Linked DNA regions of Lytechinus pictus. The protein of the gene in region 2 interacts with the protein of the main gene of each other region in a pairwise test. Links are inferred from orthologs where the notes say so. Each region holds a gene or a part of one and is shown on either strand. Other genes may lie near its edges. The genes, in order: SURP and G-patch domain-containing protein 1-like, splicing factor U2AF 50 kDa subunit-like and U4/U6 small nuclear ribonucleoprotein Prp3-like.

Region 1 (7,851 bases), on a different chromosome or scaffold from region 2:
CTGAATATATGGATTAGGACCAGGATTTGATTGGGAGCTATTCAGCCCCATCATTTTATCTAAAACACACACTTATTCAACACATGCACTGAAAATGAGAAATTTGCTATACCCCCCCCCCCCCCACCAATAAAAATAGAGCCTGCCTCTTTATAAAGACCATACATGATGGGAATGTTACAGTTTGAATATCTATTTCAGCTCTTTACAACATGATATATCCTGTTGAGCTAAATTCATTCAAAACTCAACAAAACAATGGCAACTTAAAGCTTGTCTACATGCATGACAAATGCATTTACTACATGACAAGAAGGTTAGGTTTAAAAAATGACACATACATACTACATGTATATAAATTAATACAAAATTTGGAAAGTGATTCAACCTATGGTTGATTGTGGATCTGGCAAAACCACAAATTAATTTCAACATGTTCTCACACCGACAGTGCTAATCTTCACACAAGATCTACAAGAAAATTTGACGTATATATTTGAAAAATATACATGTATATGGGTCAATCCATTTGATTGATGTCACAAAATTCAAAATGTCCATGTAAGATACTGTATGTAGGAATCAACCATTTCATTTCACAATGAATGTCAATTCAGATATAGTTAAGGTTTGATGTGTCAATGTAAGGAAGGTCCCTACCACAGTAATCCATGTTTGAATTTGAAATCTTTGTTTTTTTTTAAACATTACAGGACACTGCATTTATATATCATTGGCAAGAGACTGACCGGTCTGAATTTGCAATACATGTTTGATTAGTAAACCTTAGTGATACTCCAATTTTTGCTGAAGTAATTATTGGCAGGAATTTGCCAAATTTAAATGAGACACAATTTTTTTTTTTCCAGTTTATTTTTCAGTATGTCACAAAAATGCGCCAACCCAATGGAATGACCAATATGTCATTATTTTACCAGATCGCAAAATTAAGACATGTGGGGATTGTCAAATCATCTCTGAACAAGCCTGTAATGAGGACAATCAACTTACCATCATCAGAAGCCTGTTTTACGGACACTCCCTGTCCTTCATCCTCCTCATCAGAGCTGGAGTCACCAAAGACATTGGCTATCTGCCTCTCCCGCTGTTCTCTAATCTTGGCCCGGACGGCGGACGTGCTGGGTCTGTTTGGGGGTACAGGGCTGGTGGGTGACTTGGCTTTACTGGGTTGGGGCACTGGGAAAAGAGAGGAAGAAAAGGGCAAATTAAGATCAGATATATAATGTAATACCATGCGATAAGGAAGAAAGAGGGAAGAAAATGAGAATAGGACATGGAACAAGAGAAGAGCTAAGTGACATTGAGACAGAAATATAGTCTTATAGAGACAGAGGGATAGAGAGAAATACACAGAGACCGAGACTTCGTCAGAAATGAAATAGTGCAATACTCCATTAGTATTCAAACAGCCTAATTTACGAAAACATTCAAAGTTTGTGATAGACTTCATACGATATGACATCTACACGTAAGCCTATGCCTAGACCGTTTCAAGATTCAGCTCTCCTTCATGCCTGCAATTGATCATCAAAAGATTGACATCACAAATGTGCATAATCAACAAATGTAAATGACTATTACTTTTGAAATTAAATGCAAACATAACATACGAACAATCCTCAGAAACTATACAGCATGGGAAATAATCATTTCACCAGACCATACAGGAGGTGAGTAGGAAAGTGATCTAAGAATCATTTCCTAAACTGTATTTCATTTTAAACTTTCATGGGTACTTCTAGAGCTGGGAACAAACGCATTTCTGCATAAATCTGTACCTGCTTCAGGGGTGGGCGGCAGAGGTATACTCTCCAGTGTTGCCTTCTCTTCTGCAAAGTGCCTCATTTGTGCACCCAACGGTGGGTAGAAGCTCTGCTGGGCTGGCGGCGCAGTGTGTGTGGCAGGAGGGGGTGGTGGTGGGGGCTGCTGACTAATCGCTGCCATCGATTCTGCTTTCTTCTTCTGTTGTTCTTGTTGCATTTTCATAAACTGAGCCATGAAGCTGCCATCGTTTGAAAAGGTATTATTTTGGATAGGACTAGGAGCAGCTGGTGGTTTGGATTGAGTGGCATTCGTATTTGATGTGACCGCTGTCTTCCGCGATTGGTTACTAATATCAAACACAATTGCATTTCCATATTTAGAATAAGAACAATGCATTTCATAAATGAAAATAATTAAGTAAGTGCATTAATATTTTCAAGCCTTTTTTCATATTGAAACAGTCATATGCAGTAAATCATTTCTTTTAAAGAACATTAGTCTTTAAAAAAAATGCCACTTCTAAGCCTTTTTTAGCTTGTGGACAATCATACATGTACAGCCACACATCTCTTCTATCTCTGCAGATACAATTCATGTGCCTATTAAAACACGCATTTCAAACCCAAATTATTTCATACTTTTACAAGCAAAAAGTAGTAATTTTTTATTTCTAACCATTAAAAACAAAAAGAAACTTATATTACCCATCAAGGAAAGATTATTTTGTTTGGGAAGTTAGCAATTAAACAAGAGTCTGAGCTTAAGTATTTTTTAAACTGAGTGAAATAGACGAAATCTGCATCTTGTCATCTACAACTAGAAATAATGTCAGATTAAATATCATTTCAGATTATTATTACTTTCTTTTTGTGAAGGTCAGGAAAAACAAAGAATAACACACACGAATGACAAGGCACACAACTTACAATCGGGCTAAAGCTGAAGTAGCACCACCAGGAGGTGTCTTTGTCTTTGCTCCAGCGGCAGCTTGGGAGGCTGCTGCTGCTGCTTCTTTCTTCTTCTGGGCCATCTTCCTCTCAATTTCCTGTCTCTTTTGCAAAAGCATCCTCTCCTGATCACTCAAGCTCTTCATTTTATCCTGGAAGCTGGCCTTGGCAGCCCCTTTGTCCGCACCATGCTTGAAAGAGAATGCCATGGTCAGAGACAGTCAAGTGGTACTCCTCACTCCTGGTGTGAAGGTTGACCAATCATAAAACCTGGCAGGAGATCGGAAATTGCAAGGAAATTCAAATTCTCCAGTTATTGCTATTGTAAACATTTACATGTGTAATGAAATACAGAAATGTCTAATCAGCACTGCTGTTGGCCAAAGACATTTGCCACGGTGCATTGTTTAATTGTCTTGCATCTACTCAGAGCAAATGTGACGCATGAAGCCATTTCTATATTTTCTTTCCATTTCAGTAATCCCACCATTTCAGTAATCCCACCATGGCCTAGCGTCCTTTGGCAAGGCGTTAATCCACACTTTGCCACTCTCCACCCAGGTGTTAAATGGGTACCCGGTAGGATGTGAAAGCCTATATGTAGTATGCCTAGCAATTGAGTCTTGGGACTCTTGTTGGAATGCTCCCCAGGGAGTGGAGAAGGTGCATACATTGTATGCAGACATGCAAGGATCCGATGACCGGGGTAATGATATGTCTGTAAAGCGCTTAGAGACGTCGTTCCGATGTATTAAGCGCTATATAAATGCGGAATATTATATCATTTTGCGTGAGATGTTCTGCCCAATTGGTTCTACCACAGAAGCCATCGCTAAACAACAGAAAAACATTTTTTGCCGAATGATGTTAACATTATCATTCTGCATGTTTTGACAAAATAATTATTAAAATCTTACTATACGTCACAAATTAAAAGACAAGAAGTTTTTTTAGGAACTACAAGAAAAATTTGCCAATGGTTACGCTGCCCTCAAAGCAGTTGCGCAATGTCAATGGGCCACTCAATTAATCTTAACACTGCATCATTTCAATTCTCTGGCTGGCAATCATATCATATGTTTATGTATTAAGTTCGGATAAACCAGGTAAGTGGGAGTTGCGCCACAGCCTAAGTCACTGTTTTTCCCTTTTAAGTTTTTTTCCCCCGTTTTAGTGCATTTCAGGCCAAAACAGAATAGACCCTAATAATCTTAATTTTGCCTTTTTTTGGTCCGATTCTTTTTATATATTTTTATGAAATGAAGACGAAAATCAATGAGCCCAGTCAGGGGGTTTTGCATTGTTAACCCCCTAAAAAGGGCCCTAACTGCGGCTGCACAATCGCGAGCCGTCTGTGTACGAGGAGAAATATAAAAAAAATTAATTGTTAAAAAACTCAAAACAGACAGCTGCCAGCTGTCTAGGGTCGTGCTAGTACGCTAGTACTTAAGTAGACCAAAAGCTTCGGTCTCTATTAATTGGTTGTTCCGCTGAACTCCGTTGGCTCCACTCACCAATTACAGAGACCAAAGTTCTAACTCGATCTGTACAGGAACTCAATGACCTTATGTTTATGTATTAATTTCGGATAAACCAGGGAAGTAGGAGTTGCGCGACTGCAGAAGTAACTCTTTTAAGTTTATTTTTTCCTGTTTTTGTGCATTTCAGGCTAAAACAGAATAACAATCTTTATTTTGGTCCATTTCTTTTTATATATTTTTATGAAATAAAGACTGTAAGACAAAAATCGATAAGCCCCGTCGGGGGGATTTTGCATTGTTAACCCCCAATGGTGGCTGCACGATCGCCAGCCATCTGTGTACGAGGAGAAATAAAAATGTTTTTAAAAACTCCTCGAAACAGACGGCTGCCAGCTGTCTACCGATAAGGTAACCCAGGAGCCGACCGTGCAAAACGAGGGAGAGGATAGAGTTCCATATGCACCCCCCACCAAAAATAACAAGATTGTTGAGACTTCCGGTTCGTTCATCTCAGATTTTTCTATTAATTTTTTACTGTTGCTTACCTTAGTTGACTCGAACTCACCTCGTTTTATCTGCAGTCAAGACCTCTTCCCGCTATGCTAGCGAGAAGTGCTGATACCTGAAGGGGTATTTTAACGATTATCAGCCGATAGTTCGACTAGTCTACACTCAGTCACAGACCCTTACTGACTAAATAAACCGATATCTATGGACAATTACACGCACTCGATCCTGCTCGAAATTTGACGGAATAAAGCCATATTTTGGTATGTATTTCCACTCCCCCATCATATATGTTCTATATTATGGCTAGATATATTATTCTGAACCTTCTCCATGTTTTTATTTTTTTATTTTAGTGGGGGTGCATATGGAACTCTTGCCAAGGGGGACACGGGACTGGAGTAGATTGGGGTCTCAATAAGTAGTCTTAATAAAATGTGGAAACAGAAATTATGCACTTACCAATATGGATGAAGGTCTATCGTGACACACAAATCCTGACATCGAGGCACAGACTGGAACCTCAAAAAAACAAAATATAGCCTCGGTCAGTAGAGGCGCACGGCCAATATTGGAGACTGTCTCCAATGTGGGAGAATATCTCCAATATTTAGAGACTTTTGTAAAGAATTTGGGTATCCAATTTCAGAGACAGTCTCCAGTTTTGGAGATCAATTTCCTTTGTTTACATTTGCTGCAAAAGGATTACCTTGGCGGCAAATGAAAATGTGATGGGCAGATTCCTCATGAAAAATTACCCCTTTTCACCGTCTACTTTAAAAATTCACCATCTACTTTTGTTTTGATAAGGATTTTTGTTGTCAATCACACACAAAACAAATGGGCATCTGACCTCAGTGAGACAAAATTTTGGGTGGAAAAAATCATGTTTTTGTTGGTGTTGTTTCTTTTGTCCTTTTGCAAAGCAAGTCTCCAAGGTGGGAGATTGTCTCCCCTATTGAAGAGAGTCTCCCATATTGGCCGTGCGCCTCTATTGTCGGTCTCGATCGGCCATTTTGTTTTGAATAGAAAAAAGGAGAGGTATCCCGACAGAACTTTTCGGGGTTTTTTTATTTTAGGTTTAATTCCCAGTCTGTGCCTCGATGTCAGGATTTGTGTGTCACGATAGACCTTCATCCATATAATCGTGGTAATGGCATAATAATTTCTGTTTCCACATTTTATAAAGATTTACCATTGAGACCCCAATCTACCCCATTGTCTCCCTCGTTTTGCACGGTTGACTCCTGACCTGGGGCCGATTGCACGAAAGGGTCTTTGCCAGGACAGTCTTTCGTGTCACCCATTTTTTATAATGCGGCATGACCCATGTGAAACGCATTTCAAATAAATTATCTGCAAACATATTTTACTCGTCTGTTAAAATAAACAAAATAGGCCTAGGCCCTATTTGTAGGTATGTGCGAATACGGGTGCATCGCGAGCGCTGGTTTTGGCTGCACGGTTTTCGCACGGGTTTTGCTGCAAGTGGCATCACCTCTGTCTGGGCGGCTCCTCGAAAATGGGGTTTAATGCGCATGCGCACATAGTTCATGCAATCTCGTGCCTTTTTCCAAATAGTTGAAGATGTGCACTTTCTGTACATATAAGTTTCAATATGAATACTCGCCTGTTAAGTGTGGATATCGGAGCTTGAAAGTTCATCAAATTTTTGGATGTGCAAATGATCTAAATTTTTTGATGGTAAGTAGAAGTACGTTCCAATTATGTATCTGAATTCTTCTAAAAAAATATATTAATAGTCAAAAGAAAAGTAAAAATATGAGATTCTATCGACTAGCAGTCCAGATATAAGAGGAGCGAGCTACCCTTGGGTTACCCTTGTCACAGCCGGTCTCTCGGCAGTCGAGCTGCCCGATGCGGTTGGCTGGGTGATGGGAGCGGTCGATAGTGAGTCGTTCATGCTGGATTGAACTAGATCTTGGATTGTTTACTCTATATTGTGCCTTTTTCGGAAATTTCTGTCATTATACCTAGATTATTATTTTGATATTGATACATATATACATACATTTTGTCACAAAAACATTCTTTCCTCCCAAGGTTACAGAGTCAAGATGGTTTATTGTTCGATCATGTTTCATCATTTTGGAAACTGGATTCTTTTGGAAGTGGAATATCAATGTTGACTTTTTAAATTAAAATGCAAAATCTATAGTGTTTCTTTTTTGTCTTTTGTAGAATAAAAAAATATTTTGAAACTTTTCAATCATATTTCATTATTTTGAGACTGGATCTGCTTTTGAAAGGGAAATTTCATAAATGTTGACTTTTTAATTAAAATGCAAAAATTATGTTTGTTTTTTTTCATACTTATTTATTTATATATTTTTTAGTTTCTTTTTTAAATTTTTGTTTTGTTTATTTTTTCATTTTTTTTTGGTCATGTTTCATTATTTGGAGACTGGATTTGCTTTTGAAGGGAGAATATCTTAAATGTTGATTTTTTTTAATTAAAATGCACAAACTTTAAGTTGTTTATTTTTTGTTGTAATATTTTTTCACTCTTGTAAGAAAATACATGGAAACTCAGAGGAAAGAATATTTCATTTCCAGATGGGTCTAAGTCCTGTATTTATAGTTTTTTTTATTGTTAATTTTACTATTTTTTTTAATTTACTTTTCTTTTTTTTTTTCATGCAGGTGGAGGTTGTGTTTTAAACTGGAAAATGGGGACGGGATTGGTACAAGTTTTTGTGTCACTTTTGTTTCTCTTGTGTTTAGTGTTTGTTTGGAGCTTTGATGTCTGTTTGGTTGTTGTTTAGAGCTTTGTTATATTTTTTTCCTGGTTGTTTTTTGTTTTGCTTTGAAAGAAATAGACCACTCTTTTCCTTTTCGTTTGGCTTTGACAACTAAAAATTTGAATTTATTTTTCTTAAAAAAAGAGAGCTCACAGGGCCTTTGTAATACATTGTATGTATACAAATCTAAGAAATACATTGAAAATGATAGAATTTACTAAAGTAAAGCTTAATATTTATCCTTTTTTATACTTTAAATAAATTGCATACAATGCTACATACATATTTTACACTTAGCTGCTCATCCCTCCTAAAAAAATGTAATCAAATGTCCATTGTCTCTAAAATCAAAAGCTACATATTACACAT
Region 2 (7,825 bases):
TCTTCAAAATGGGAACCATCTAAGAAAATTCTCCTGAATTATAAATAATGGTTCCCATTTTCACGAGTAGATAAAGACAGTTTATTAATCAGCTTTATTTCGTCAGAGAATCATCACTAACAAAATAAATATCACTAGTAATCTGTCTTTATCTACTCGCTGAAATGGGAACCAGCGCGTACAACTCTATCATATGGAAAATTCTCAATAAAGTTGTACACGCTGGTTCCCATTTCAGCGAGTAGAGTAAACTAGTTTACTCTACTCGCTAAAATGGGAACCAGTGTGTACAACTCTATGGGGAGTTTTCCACGCTGGTTCCCATTTTAGCGAGTAGAGAAAAGACTGCGACGAAATCAATCTTTCTGATCTAAGCTCTTTGAAGGATTACTTTATCTAGAATCAGCGCCACTGAACTAAAAATACGTGGAAGTCGTGTTCACTCAAGCAAAACAGCGCCGGCGAAATCGATAAGTCACGTGACCGCCGCCATTTTGCTAGGTCAATTGTTCGAGAACGTTCCGTAGAAGGCAATTGAAAATAATATTATGTGCAAGATGCAATATGTTTTCTCTATAAATATAAAATTAATAGTGTGGCAAAGTGTATTTTAATGTCATTAAGCCAATCATGTACAAACATATTTCTATATGCACAATGTACCGGGACCTGGTAATTCATGTAGTTAAAAAAAGGGTCTAAATCAGGGTGACCAGATTTCACAAAATGAAATACGGGACAATCGATAAAAAAAGATCATCAAAGAAGGCTACACGATGTTATACTTGTGAAAAAAATAAAAATAATTGGAAGGGAGGGAGAACGAAAGAATGAAGGAGAGAAAGAAAAGACGAAAGAAAAGAAATGATAAAGAAGAAAGAACAAATGAAGGGGAAAATGAAAGAAAGTTAGAATAATCAAAAGGACGATGAAAGAAAGAATAAAAGAGAAAAAAGGGTTTCCGTCATTCTTTGAATTCGCCCAATATAGAAAGAAAGGGAAGATGTGTGAAAGACAAAATAAAGGTAAGAAAAGTAAGAAAAATTAAGGAGGAGGAAACAAAGAAAGAAGAAAACGGGAAGGGGAAATGAAGGAAGGGAGGGAGGGAGGGAAAGAAAGAAAGAAAGAAAGAATAAGGGGAAAGAAGAAGAAGGAAAAATAAAATAGAGAATGAAAGAAAGAATGAAAGAGAGGGAGGAAAGATTGGAGATAGGATAGAATGAAAAAAATAATGGAAGGAGAGAAAAACGAAAAGAAAAAGGTGAGGAAGGGAGTAAATAAAAGTATAAGGAAAAAAAGAATGACGGAAATAAAAATGGCAGATACGGAGAAAGAAGGAAAGAAAGAAAATTAAAACACAGAAAGAATCAGGAAAGAAAGGTATGAAATATTAAAAGATGTAGATGGAACAAAAAAAAGCAAGGATAGAAGGATGAAGGATAAAAAGGAAAGAGGAAAAAGTTCAAACTTCAAGCAAACAAAAGCAATCCAATCATCTAACAGAAATGATAATGATATTTGGTGTGTTTGTGGGAATATTTACTCAAAATTTATATAGAGAAAGTTGAAATGAGAAAGGAAAAATGGTAAAGATGGAGAGAGAGAAAAAGAAACAGACGATCAACGAGAAGAGATGGAAAGAAGAGGAAGATCAAAGAGAAAGAGAGAGAGAGAGAGGGAGAGAGAGGGAGAGAGAGGGGGAAATCGAGGAATGAGAAAGAGGTGAGGAGAGAAAGGCGAGACGAGAGGGAGATAAAAGAGGGCTCGATATAAGGGAGATGGGGGAAATAAAAGAAAAATATAATTAGGGGAAGAGAGAGTGGGAATGTAAAAGAGAGAGATGAGAAAGAAGAGGAGAATCAGAGAGAAAGAAGCCAAAGAGAAAGGAAAATAATAAAGAGGGAGATCGAGATGATATAAAGGGGAGAAATAAGAGAGAGAGGGGCATGAAAGTAGAAATGGAAGAAATAGAAGGGGATGGAGAGGATAAGAGAGATGGAAAAAAGAGGAAAATCAGAGAAAATGAGATGAGATTAATAGTTGAATGAGAAGGGAGGTTTAAAAAAAAAGCTAGAGAAAGGGACATGATTTCTAATCGTTAAAAGATTTTTTTGATGCAACCAGCTAGTATAGGCCTACTCAGAAAGCATATTTGTTGTGGGGCCTTTCCTTGTCACAGCGTGCGCGTGAAAAAGGTCGAGTTTTTTATGATTTCATGTCTGTATGTTTACTCCCCTTTAATAAAAAAATGTGACTAAATCAACATTTTCAGTTATGAAAGTATTCAATAACATATAGTTCATGATGTAACAAAGCAAACTAAAACTTTAAACAGCACAAGGAACACTTTCTTTGCGTTCCTTTCTCCCATCTGCCTATATACACGCAGCATTTGTCGACCAGCCAGTATTGACCTAGCAAAATGGCGGCGCGCTCAGTCGAGCGTGAAGCCCGATGCTCTTCGTTGCCGCATGGCTTTGTGTACGTTGGGAATAGGGACACGCATTCCACGTTTTTTTAGTTCAGTGATCAGCGCGCCAGCTGCAATGAAACAGTGAACAAGCTCGAAAAGGTAGGTAGGTCATGTCTTGTCGTGAAAAAGTGTCCTTTGGAAATTAGGAACTGGTTCCCAATTTCACGATAATGCCCCATTTTATCATGTTCTTTTGGCAAAAAAACTTTACAAGGAGTTGTGCCTGGCTGTGGAACTGGAAGCCAGAACTCAGGGCCCTATTTACACAGGGGTTCTTTACACACACACACACCCCCAACCCACACAAGCACTAACTAGCGCACCACAAAGCACACACACACAACTGCACAATGACACATGATGAACGCGACGCAAACTGACTGGCTGGCATGGCCATGGCCGTCATGTTTGTATTTCGTCTATCGTATTTGGAAATTAAAATGAAAAGATTCCATGCTTTTTACATCACTCTTACTAATGCCTACCTGGTTTTCTATCATCTTCGTCCATGATTGAGTGTTTTCCCCGAGTTTTAGACCAGTTTTCAGCGGTTGTTTTCAGCATGCAACATTCAGGACCGGGTGTAACACGCTCAATGTCTGTATGTGCTACACTTCCGATCCGAGTACGAGTGTGTAGAAATTGCCGCACTACTACAGGCCCGTGCTAAAATATATTGGCGCTAATTATATTCACCACGCCAGATGATGAACAATATTTATCCCCCGAAGCCGTATGAAGTTTTATAATGCTTGTTTGATTTGTCGCGTTTTATTGATCTTTTGGTTGGCGTTGAATACATCATTAAATGGTAACTTTAAATAAAGAAGGCGAAACTATAGAATGGTGAAAGTTTGAAATAAATGGGGAAGAAAATATGACTGTTTACTTTTAATATTAGATCAATGGAATCTCGATTAGGCACCTGTTTTAATGTGCCAATAAATATATATAAGGCAACTAGCAATTATCGTGTACACTAAATTCGTGGAGGTTTTATCCTCTTCTAAGAAAGCCTATTATTCTGATTAAAGCTTAACTTGCCATTTTAAACTCAAATGCTTGCTTTTCTGAATCAAAATGACATCACCCATGCGACAGAACTTGTCACTTATATTTGCCGAATCATACTATAGGCGTAGCCCTAAATGATCCTGAGTAAAATAATATAAACTTTAATTATATTATCTTGCCACTTTGAAAGCAATTATTCTTCTCTGATATTCGGCAGAAAACATATCTGATCAAGAAAAAATTATCTAATTCCATATAGAAATTATTGAGAAATCGAGTGATGGATGAGCCTGCCAATTATGTTAACTATATTTTGGAGTCCGTGGATATAATCCATGCATGCATGCAGTGTCTGAGAATTACTTTAAAAATTGTAAGAATATGTGTGTTCACTAATATGAGTTATCTATACTAATTGAAAGAAAAGGTTATCTATACTAGGCCTGTATATACAATCGGAACGGGACTCGACCTGCCGTACGTGACCGCATGCAAAATTCAATTAGAAGAATTAAAATAATTGAGAAGAAGAACATTAAGACAACGCAGTGCTTCACGTACGTATACTTTTGTTTAATAAAAATTGCTCAGAAACTATGAAATAGAACTAGAACACTATTTGAATTTTATTAGACTATAGAAAACAACAATTCAGATAAAGCTCGATCTCAAGCCGGCCTTCGGTAACTGAGCACTCATTCTCTACAAAAGTGATGCCGGTGTAGGCCTATAAATTAATCAAACTAAGCCTATTGATTTGAATAAAGAAAGATCAATCTATAGCATAACGCTGAAAATTTCATCAAAATCGGATGTAAAATAAGTTATGGCATTTTAAAGTTTTGCTTATTTTTCCCAAATAGTGATATGCATAACCTAGTGACATGCAAATGAGTCGGTCGATGATGTCCATCACTGACTATTTCTTTCGTGTTTTATTGTTTGAATTATACAATATTTCATTTTTTACAGATTTGACACTAAAGACCAACTTGAACTTAAAAATATAACTTTTTTATTTCACATCCGATTTTGATAAAATTTTCAGTGTTATGCTTGTTGGATTTTTTTCTTTTTATTCAAATCAACTTTTTGTTGGGGTGGACTTGTCCTTTAAAGGACAAGTCCAGTCCAGCCCATCAAAAAATTGGGTTAGATAGAAAGATAAAAATCATACAAGCATGCACTACACTGAAAATTTCATCAAAATCCAATGTAAAAATAAAAAAGTCAGCATGACATTTTAAAGTTTCGCTTAATTTTATAAAAACATTTGACATATGCTGGTCAGAATGAGGAAACAGGGGCGTCGATCCATTTTTCAGATTGGGGGGCAAAATCATGAACTTTCCAAAGGAGCTCGATCACACAACTCACCCACACGAACACTGACACACACACACACACATAGGCCTATATATAAATATATATATATATATGTGACTCATGAGAAAGAGACACATATCCCACCAACAAATTATAATGCGAGCGCGAAGCGCGAGCTGAAAATCTTTTAGTATACTGACCTGAAAACAGGAAAAAGGTACCTGTTAGGACTGTTTGTAGTAACTCATGAGGAGGATACTTTTATCTCACTACACAGATAATGCGAGCCGGCCGAGAGCGAGCTGATATTTCTTTATATTCTGACCTGAAAGCTTGAAATTTAAGCATTTTTGGTAACAATGATTAAGATGGGCATCTAAAAGAACAATAGATGCGATGGCGAAGCGCGAGCTGAAAATTTTGATATTTCGATCTGAAAAAATTGACAGTTTAATGGACTTTTTAATAAAGACAGGATTTATATCCAACAAAAGATTGTTGATAATCGAAGCGGGAGTTCTTTTGAGGTTTAGACCTGAAAACGGGACATTCTATTTACCTATTATTCATGAAAAGTATGGGTTTTTGCTAAAGAAATGATGCGAGCGCGAAGCGCGAGCTGAAATTTTTTACATTCGATTCTGAAAAACGCACATTTTGAGCACGATTTAGATAAAGAACGATCGAGTTGTGTATCTCAATCTCGCTTGCCGATTTCTGTGTAACATTACAATCCTTTTCATTTTTGCACATCCGGAATTATTGGGGGGGGGGGGGGCAAAACGATATGTTTGCCCCCCAAAAAAATATTTTCATTGGAGATGATGACATCATCCACTCACTATTTCTTTTGCATGAAATATAAAATTTGATTCCTTCCTGAACATGTGGAATTACAACTGTTTTAACATTTTGTGGTTAAAAACAAGACGGTCGAAATCAAACAACAAAAAACAAAAGAGACAGTGAGTTAGAGACATCATCGACTCTCTCATTTGCATATCACTGTGTTGTGAATATAACTGTTTTGTGAAAAAATAAGCGAAATTTTAAAGTGTCATAACATTCGATTTTGATGAGATTTTCAGCGTTATGCATGTTTGTTTGATTTTTCTATATTAATTCAAATCAACTTTCCTTTGGGGTGGAATTGACCTTTAATATTATTTACTTACAAAATATTAAAGAAATGAACAGTCATTAAAAAAAAACTTTCTAAATCTGTTGGCAACTGGGGAAGGGAGGGGGGGCAACGGTTCGATGAGTGGGTGGCAAGTCCCCCCCCTCCCACACATCCCCTGGTGCCCCCACTTCTTTTCCCACGAGGAAAATATTTTCAGAACTAAATTAAAGAGTGCTAATTAAAATGTTGAGAATCCGAATAAACTCAAAGGCGAACTGTAAATCATCAGAATAAAATTAAAATAAAGATGATATAAGGCCTTGAAGGTAAAGCAACATGAAGAGGAATATGATCCTCTTCATGCTTGACCGACATGGCTGAAACGGAGGGTGTGGGGGGGGGGGGGGGGCTAGGTACCATGGTCATTTCTTGCAAAACTAACTTTTCCTGGCCATGCAGTGAACATGCAATTAAGGTACGAAATTGCCACACACACAAAATACAGGGGAAAGGGGGATAAGATTTTAATCTATGTTTTGTAAATCATGAAAAGGATGGGTAATTAGTTATCTTCCTACATTAACAATGCGAGTGCAAATTGAGCGCGAGCAGAAAATTGTTGATATTTTAAAATCTGAAACTGGATAATTTAAGCATGTAGAACAAGCTGGGTATCTCAATAAACACGTGCGTGTATTTTAGATTGATTTATATAGTATCTGGGCATTATGAGTACAATCATGAAAATCAATAATTCGAGCGCGAACCGTGAGCTGAAAACATATGATATTCCGATCTCAAAAAGTGTCAATTTAATTAAGCACTAATTCAAGCACGGTGTAGAAAAATTGTGAAATGGAAATGGATCGCACCTAATAAATGATGCGAGCGCGGCACGAGCTGAAGTTATTTTAACCTAGGACCCGGCCTAGGACCGGGACATTTCATGAGGACATTTTGTCATAATTATGAAAATGATGTCTATCTTCCTATTCCTCCTAAGCGCGAGATAAAACTTGTCGATATCCCTTTCTGAAAAAAGAGACAATTTAGGAATTCATTGACATGTTATCATTTTCTTAATTAATCTAATAATTATGCCTATGACAGCGTAAAATTTGTTAATAATAAGGCCTGAAAACTGGACATTTTAAGCACTTTCGTAATTATGAATAATAGGATGCATGATAAGTTTATCAATCAAATTTATGCGAGCGCAAATCGCACGCCGAAATTTTTTTAAACTGTCATAAAAAGGGGATTTTAAGTAGTTTGTTATATAATTACTTAGTATTATAGATCGAGGCATATATATGCGAGCGCATAGCGCTATGGCTGAAAGGTTTTGACAATCAAACCTGAAAAGGGATATTATGAGAATACACGAATAGCATACTTGACAAATCAAATACGTATGCGAGCTAAAATTTTGATACTGAGTCAATAAAATGGATATTTTACAGATCACTTTTTGAAAATTAAATTGTAAATCAAACAAAATAATGGAAGCTCGATGTCGGAGCTGAAATATGTTTTGTATATTGACTTCAAAACTTGATATTTTAAGAATTTTATGTATTTCATCAAACATGCTATGCGAGCGCAAAGCGCGAGCGAAAATTTTATAGTGACATATGAAAGTTTTTTTTTCCAAGCCTTACCCAGCCTCACCTTATTTTATTCACTAGTCTTCCTCATCCTTTTCTCATCTTTTTTACTCTTCTCTTTTCCCTTCCATTCCCCCCCCTTCCTTTCACTTTTTCCTTTTTTTTTGCTCCACCAATAGGGGGGCGGGCGGGCATATGCACCTTGAAAGTCCATCTCTATGATGATATCCAACTTGGGCATAGAGATGATATGCCCAAGTTGGATATCATCATAGAGATGGA
Region 3 (7,898 bases), on a different chromosome or scaffold from region 2:
TCCTGCTGATTGGCCTTAAATTCTTCTCTCCGTTTGGCTCTGATGTTAGCCTTCACATTGGACAGTATAAATGGGACAAGAAAAGTAATATAATTTTATTTTAAGAATGCACAAAAAACTTCTATTCACATTCACTATTTCACAGTCTAAAACATTTTCATCCTTTAAAACATGCAAGAGTCTATTTGAATGATAATGAAAGGTATAGAGACAGTGAATTTCCATTTTAAAAAATGGTATTTTCCATGTCTGAAAATCTGTAATTCCGTTTCAACTTGATCTAAAAATGGAAATTCAGTTTTGTCACTGAAAATGTATACAGCAAAAACCTAAATTCCATGAATTTTTACATAAAAAGTGTAAGAACAAAATGGAATTTCCTTTTTATTTACCAGTATAATGGAAAATGACTGTCCCTACAGGTATCCAAACTCTAAAGTAATAAATTATTTATCCTTTGTTGAAAGTGGAAAAATACAAAAATCATTTTACTCTTCTTCTGATTATGAGTAATAAAGTCATCATTGCTCTTAACATGATTTTTTTTCCTCCAGAAGAAAATCAGAATAATCAAGCATACATGTAGCTTACATTGTGTTCCCCCCTTTTCAATTACTTTTCTTATTAAACTTTATTCAATTGAATAGACTGAAATATATATAACATATCTTCACATATCTTTAAAACTCTCTGCACGATGTTTCATTTCATTTGACAAGCCTACCACATACATGTACATAAAATAAAAACAACATTACCCTTCTCATCAAGTTGTACATTCTATGTATCAAAGATAAAACGTAAATTGTGGAAGCTTTACCTTAATTGTTGGTCTGTGTTGCGGTAGTATGATAACACGTCCTGATTTATCAATTGTTCTACCTTGATCATCAAGAATCAATGGTGCTGGTCTAAGCACACAAAAAAAGAAAAAAGAATAATTAATATGAATAACCAGAATCTCTTTGAGAGGATCAGAAAATGTTTTATCACTTTGAGCTTATTATCATTCAAGGGGGAGAGGGCATGGCCCTGGGAAGCAGGGTTACTGAAGCACCCCCAACATTTTCCTTGGGGGTGCTGTGTGTATTATTCTCCACAGGCAGCACCCTAAGGTATTCTGAGAGATGTGTAAAAATTGAAAAATGTAACCAAAATTAACTTAATTTTTTGTGACTTCCATTTTGTAGAGAAACTTTTTTTTTTTTACTTTTCAAACTTACATCAGCACCTCCACTTACAAAATCGTTCCCAGGGCCCTGGGAGGAGGGGTAAACAAAGGATTGTTTGAGATATGATTTATTTTTAATCTAAAACAGAAAAATACAGAATCATTCAATATGAGAGAAAGCTATTGATAATTATTGTTTGCTCACTTAGTGAGAACAGCTGGTGGTGGTTTAGTCTGACTGGTATCTTCTTTAGGAGCTGGTACTTTAGGTATTGCAGGTGCTTGTGGTATTCCAGGCATAGGTGGTAGTTTCAAACCACCTAACCCAGCACTCATCATAGTTGCCTGTATGCGTGCTTGTATCTCAGCAGCTTTCTTGGCTTTCTCCAGAGCATCATTTCTCAGAGCCTCGGGCTGACTCTTTGAAAACTGTGTCAGGTAAAATACATTCATTTAATTAGTTCCAAGTACTTTCCTTACTTTAGTAATATAGCAGGACTTAAGTCTAATAATCCCAGGTTATTTTGAGTCCTTATTATGCCCCCTAAGATCTTGGTCTCAAATCATGTGACCATGACAAAAAAATTTGCACAATGGTAAAATATGATGTTATCTTATGTTGCATAGCTAAGCTGGATTTATTGCTAAAAATGTTACAAAATATGTCAAAAAAATTATAACATACACGTTTTAAATGAGGAGTGGTCCCATGGGACCAAAATTGTGTTTTGGGCGGCACTTTCTCAATTTTGTAACGATTTTTCATGAGGTATCATGCTCAGAAGAACAACCTTCTTAATTTAAGCTGATGCCCTTTAGCAAACTGAAACATCACTATTTTATAGCCTACTTCTACTGTAAAAATTCATCAGGGAAAATATTAATTTATTGAACTAATGAAGCAGGCAGATGATCTTTTTTTTAAAATTATTATTATAATCAAACACATAAACAACATATACAAACAATAGGATAAGGAGAGTCACATGGATGCCGGGAAAGGAAAAAGATTAACTAAATAACTATAACCCGAAGGTCTTCCAATCCATGTGACTTTACAAAGATAACATACATGTAATACAAAATAGTAAAATACAACTATACAGTTGTTGAAGATGACAACAAATTATATTAAATTATATTAAATTAGATTAGATTAGAATCAAATAAAGAATAAAAAAGAAGTAGGTTTGCATGGTGGAGTTTATAATGTGGAGAAGGCTTACGGTTCACAATGTTTAATATGAAGAAGGGAGAGGAAATACAGGCAGAAAATTTAAATGGAAAGACGAGAAAGGATGAAAAGAGGAAATTAGAGGTAATCTTTTCTTGAAAGTGAGTAAAGTCCTGAAAAAGGACTGTAAACTAGATGAGATGAGCTGAATATGGCTTGAGTATTGATGGTTTGAGTAGTAGCAGGTTGAAGTGAAGACTCCTGAAGATGGACAGTCAACCTGCCCGAAACGTCGAGTAACCTCTCTTCACTTCAACCTGCTACTACTCAAACCATCGCTACTCAAGCCATATTCAGCTCATCTAATCTGGTTTACAGTCATATTCAGGACTTCATTTGAATAGAATGTTAAAAAATCCCCCAGTAACATACATGTAAAATATGGTAATCACGTAACAAAAATTATAAGGTAAATTTAAGGAATGTATTGTTTCCCACAGCTTATTGTTACCTTGACTCCATTCTCGTCTTCACCGGGAAAGTGAGAGAATTTAGAACGCTTCTTGTGTCCCTCATATCCATCATCATCTTTACTGGTTCTCTTTGAAGCTTTACTTCCACCTTGAAAACCTGCTACATCTGCAAATAGGGTCTCCACAAACCTCTCAGCCGAGTCTTCCAGCAAGGGCTTTAACATATCTTAATAAAAAAAGAAAGGAGATTTTTTTTTCTAATCAGACACGTAATGACCAAAAATTTTACATCTGCAATAGGTTACAGAGATAAAATAGTGAAAAATTTTAAAAGGCATTTCAGAAACATGTAAACTTGTAAAGGCATCCATTACAGTCTCCCTCATCAAATCCTCTGAATTGTGTATAAAATGAATGGTTCAGCAGATATGGGGCTTCAATGTTTTTCAATTTAAAAAATATGAGAGACTTCAGTTTCAGATTTTCAGAAGAAATTAATTTATTTTGTTTGAGCTCTAGACTTCATCTTTGACAAATTTTTTGCCACACTTACATGTACTCTTGAGCTGTTGAGATCATAAGGAATGTCAGATTAGCCATAAAAGCCGCTTGATGATGAAAGACAACATTGCAACAAAAAATGTAAAAAAAGCATTCCCAGATTGTCAGGGAAAATCAAGTTGTGTTTCACATAGATCTTGAAACTCGAATGATGAAAAATAGGAAGACATTTCACAAATATTTTATATAGACTCTAGACTAGAGCTCATAATGTATTAAAAAAATATTAAATGGACGACATTGCTGGGTGCTTCATTGCATGAGGACTAGTATATGCATCACTCAAGGGTTCATTGCATTACATGCCGCCGCGCACAGAAAAATCAAGCCATAGAAGTCGTGTGTTGTGCACGCCAGAAGTGACGTCGCAGCATGCACGACCCACTAACTTTAGAAATCCACTGCCAAACGTGGTTCTTTGTGCAAGGTTAGAATAGTAACTAACCTTGCACTAGTGCGAGTGGATATGCATAGACTCTACAGTAGTACAACTGTTTTGTGATCTTGAAGTGAAACTTCAAGTGAAATCTAAAATCATCACAACGTTCTTATTCTACATTCGGTTTTGATGAAATATTCAGGGTTTTTACTTTTGTAGACATTAGATTTGTCTCTTTTCATTCGAATCCATGTTCTGCTGGATGGGGTTGAATCGTCCATTCAAACGGAAGTTGTTGATCTAACTTTTAGATCTACACATATCCACACAAAGCAATACTGCCAATATACTCTTGAACCCCCCACCCCCAGGCCAGGAGGCTCCTGGAGATTGAAGTCATACCAATGACGTGCTTAATCTCCATGAAGCCAGGGACGGGATGCCATTGCACTACACGCACCAAGTATTTTGCCACCAATAATGCTAAAATATTCCTCACGCTAGACCAGTTGAAGTGGGATCTAGGACTGAGGTAAGATTTATGATATTTATCGGCCGATGCAAGTATTTTACTCGGTGCGTGTAAGTGCAATGGTATCCTAGACCAAAAGCTTCAGTCTCTGTTTTATTGAATGTTCTGCTGAACTTTGTTGGCTCCACTCACCAATTACAGAGACTGAAGTTCTAACTTTATCTGTACAGGGACTCAATGGCCATATGTTTATGTATAAAGTTCGGATAAACCAGGGAAGTGGGAGTTGCGCGACAGCCGAAGTAGGTCACTGTTTTTTTCCTGTTAGGTTTATTTTTTCCATTTTGGTGCATTTAAGGCCAAAATGGAATATTAATCTTTATTTTGGTCCAGTTCTTTTTATATATTTTTATGAAATAAAGACAAAAATCGAAAACCCCCGTTTTATTTTTTTTGGTATTGTTGACCCCCTAATGGCGGCTGCACGATCGCGAGACTTTAAAAAAATCTGAGCTAGAAGGTCACACTTGTCACCTGTGTCTGTGATATGTTACAAAAATGAAGCCCAGAAAAAAAATGCTTCAAAAATTGAAATATAAAGTGACCGAAAACACCATCTTAATTTCATCCCATACACTTATGTGTACTATTTAGGCGTCTATAAGACGCCTATTTACAAAATCGGGGTTTGCCTTGTAGTTCTAGCTTTTCATTCTCAATAATGGTTGTTTTCAGGGTTTATTAGTTCTAATACATGCACTTGTACACATGTATCATCTTGGTTTGAGAATTTTTTAAATCGGCTGCTCACAAAGTTAAACAATACCTTTAAGCACGCCAGTGGTTAGACAGGAATAACCGTCGTTTCTGGGGATTTATTTAACAATTTCTGACATTTTACTATCATCCCCATTCACCGACGGTAGTACGTTAGTGCGAGCCCTCATGTGTAATCCAGAGCTTCCGAGTCTCCCGGATCCTGCGGAAGAATACTGGATTGCCATCCAATCTCCCATTCTCCCGACCCCATGCCAAAATCTCCGGGATAATCAGGATTTTTAGCTGTTAAATTGTAAAATTCATACAAACGACTGTTTTACGAGTCTAGCATTTTCAACTCCCTTACACCCACGTGGATCCTCCTTATCACATTTTCATTTTACCCAGTAAATTTTACCAGTTTTTGTATACTCGTACATTGACTTCCAATGTAAATGAAGATAACTTTACTGAACGACTGGTGAATTAGTCTAACTTGCCATTTTTTTTCTGGTTCTGCAATGTGTGTGATGGAAACACTTCAGCGGCACTCCATGCACATGCCCCCCGATGCGACCCTGCCTGGTCTCCAGCCGGCCGCGCCGCGCCAGGAGGCTATGAGAAGGGAAGTCCACGAGCACTGCGAGGCATTTTTCATACGCTTGTGTGCGCTTTATTCGAGCTGAAACTGTGGATCAACGATGGGATTTACAAGTGGATTACTATTATAACTACACCCCGACTTTCACTTTATTGACAATCCTGAAGAACAGAAGCAAAGTTGAGAATTTTTCGCCTACTTTCACTTGGGTTGATCGGATTCGAACATTTTCTCTTTCGTGAGTGAGCTGGCCTGGCGCTGGCTGGCTGTGCGAAGCACGCCCGTCCCGATTCATCCACACTACAATCGCATCGTCAGTGACCATGGAGATGGAGTCATCCAAGACCAAGAATACAAAATACTTTTCGAAGTATAAAGATAATTTTCAAGTGGAATGGGACTGTGTGACAAGATCAAAGAGAGGAGAGTATCATGCTTTTTGCTCAGTTTGCTTGGTCGATGTATCTATAAAGTTTTGAGGAAGAAATGACATGCCTTCGACACATTTCTTCTGATAAGCACAAGGAGATGGTTAAAGTGAGGTCATCGAGTCAGGGCATCCAGAGCTTTTTCAGGTAGGCTAATTTTCTTGTCGATTTTAGAACTGATTACGAGCATTTATCCCATGTACAAGGTTATGATAACCTTGTCCTCAGAAACCACTGTGTGGTGAAATTACATGAATAAGATTGTCAATGTTTTGCTTTTTTTTCTCTTGATCTGGAATGAATAAATACTTTATTTTTTGGCCCAAAACTCAATTGAATTCTTGAAATTAATTTTTTCTAATTAAAAAAGAGACTAGAAAGTCAAAAGGGGCCTAAGCTTTCGATCATAGCAGAATCTTCGTCGAAGGCAAAATGAGCATCATTTTGCCTCTGACGAAGATTCTGCTAGGATCGAAAGCTTAGGCCCCTTTTGACTTTCTAATTTACTCCATTGGCTCTCTTTTATTAGATAAGCAGTTTTCAGCAGCTTCTTTTTGCCATTAAAAAAGAGACTGTGGAGATGGAGATCTGCATCAATTTCAGTTTTTCACCAAAAGAGGTCGTCACAAAAATATACTCAAAATTTAAGTTTTTGAGCGCTCTGGTGAATAAAAAAATGGTTCCTACACTGTAAGTCTATAATGAAAAAATCATAACTGAATGGAACTGGGTGTTGTTTTTTACAAAAGTGATATTTTAAAGACTTTTTTTTGTGTGTTTGTATGTTGCATAGACTCACCAAAGACAGGGTGGTTGCAGAGTGCAAGTGGTCTGAAGAAAGGTTGGAAAACAAGTATGAGGCACTAAAATAATTTTTAAGCCTCTACTTTCCGTTAACGGCAAATCCGACAACTGATCTTATTTCCTCCTTCCAGTTGTTTTGATTGTTAGACAGTGCACACTGTATTACTTATCCAAGGCTCGACATTAGCAGTGGCCCGGGGCCACCAGAAATTCACCTCGGGCAACCATCATTAAAAAAATGTTAAGTTTTGGTGGCCTGAATCGGGCAACCAATAATTTTCAAAGGAGCGCAATTTTTCTCCCGATTTTGCACGCATTTATCAACTTTCTACAGTTCAAATTGCAAGCCAATTCGTCATGCGCCCTTTTTGTTAATCTACACAAATACACACACACAAAGATTGCATAGTCATGACTGTATGTAGGCCTACCGCTATAGCATACAGTAACTATTATCCGGCCGCGCCGGCCGTCAGCTTTGCATGCATGAAACCACTGCAGCTAGCTGTGTACTGTGCGCTAGCAGACTATTCAGACTCGGGGAGCTGCGATTCAAAATGTTGCTGCTAACAAATCTCCCACAGAACTTTGAAAATCTACGTCAAAGTCGCATTTTACACCAATTAAATGCCCTTCTACAGTCCACATTACTAAAATCTGGTGTAACCTGATTATTTGCCAGCATTAAAAAGAGGAATTATGACCTCTCTTTTGACTCAAAAAGACCGATTTCCAAATGCATTAATAATAATAAACATAAAACACATAGGTGAGTACATCATAGTCCCAAGTGTGCATTTGTATGTATGTTGATACTTGGTTTCTTTCGAAGCTGTGTCTTTTCTAGCCAAAAATAAACAGACAGTTTCTTTCTTTCTTTCTTGTTTATAAATGACTTCTTAAACCACTCTTGAGGAAGTAAATACTTTGGGAAGGCATTTCATTGATATGAAATGTGAATTTTTCCAGCATTTTGGCAAATATAGGGAAGGACTTTTCTCACACTGTTTTTTCAAGATATAACTTTTGCCGTTTTCTAATTTTTTTTTTCTTTCATTTTTTTTATAGTGGTTAAA

Evidence for each region.
Region 1: the proteins of splicing factor U2AF 50 kDa subunit-like (region 2) and SURP and G-patch domain-containing protein 1-like interact in binary tests that used the Homo sapiens proteins (3 or more experiments, as listed by UniProt). The link is inferred for Lytechinus pictus from reciprocal best matches to the Homo sapiens genes U2AF2 and SUGP1.
Region 3: the proteins of splicing factor U2AF 50 kDa subunit-like (region 2) and U4/U6 small nuclear ribonucleoprotein Prp3-like interact in binary tests that used the Homo sapiens proteins (3 or more experiments, as listed by UniProt). The link is inferred for Lytechinus pictus from reciprocal best matches to the Homo sapiens genes U2AF2 and PRPF3.

Annotation. Positions count from the first base shown.
Region 1 is NC_087249.1:31,939,086-31,946,936, reverse strand, and holds the start of SURP and G-patch domain-containing protein 1-like, read right to left. Parts: upstream 3,083-7,851; 5' UTR 2,942-3,082; coding exon 2,712-2,941; intron 2,132-2,711; coding exon 1,800-2,131; intron 1,198-1,799; coding exon 1,012-1,197; intron 1-1,011.
Region 2 is NC_087254.1:7,871,549-7,879,373, forward strand, and holds the start of splicing factor U2AF 50 kDa subunit-like, read right to left. Parts: upstream 3,096-7,825; 5' UTR 3,038-3,095; coding exon 2,959-3,037; intron 1-2,958. UniProt on the Homo sapiens protein: Plays a role in pre-mRNA splicing and 3'-end processing. By recruiting PRPF19 and the PRP19C/Prp19 complex/NTC/Nineteen complex to the RNA polymerase II C-terminal domain (CTD), and thereby pre-mRNA, may couple transcription to splicing.
Region 3 is NC_087247.1:68,145,443-68,153,340, forward strand, and holds the start of U4/U6 small nuclear ribonucleoprotein Prp3-like, read right to left. Parts: upstream 3,048-7,898; 5' UTR 3,043-3,047; coding exon 2,857-3,042; intron 1,601-2,856; coding exon 1,377-1,600; intron 912-1,376; coding exon 821-911; intron 51-820; coding exon 1-50. UniProt on the Homo sapiens protein: Plays a role in pre-mRNA splicing as component of the U4/U6-U5 tri-snRNP complex that is involved in spliceosome assembly, and as component of the precatalytic spliceosome (spliceosome B complex).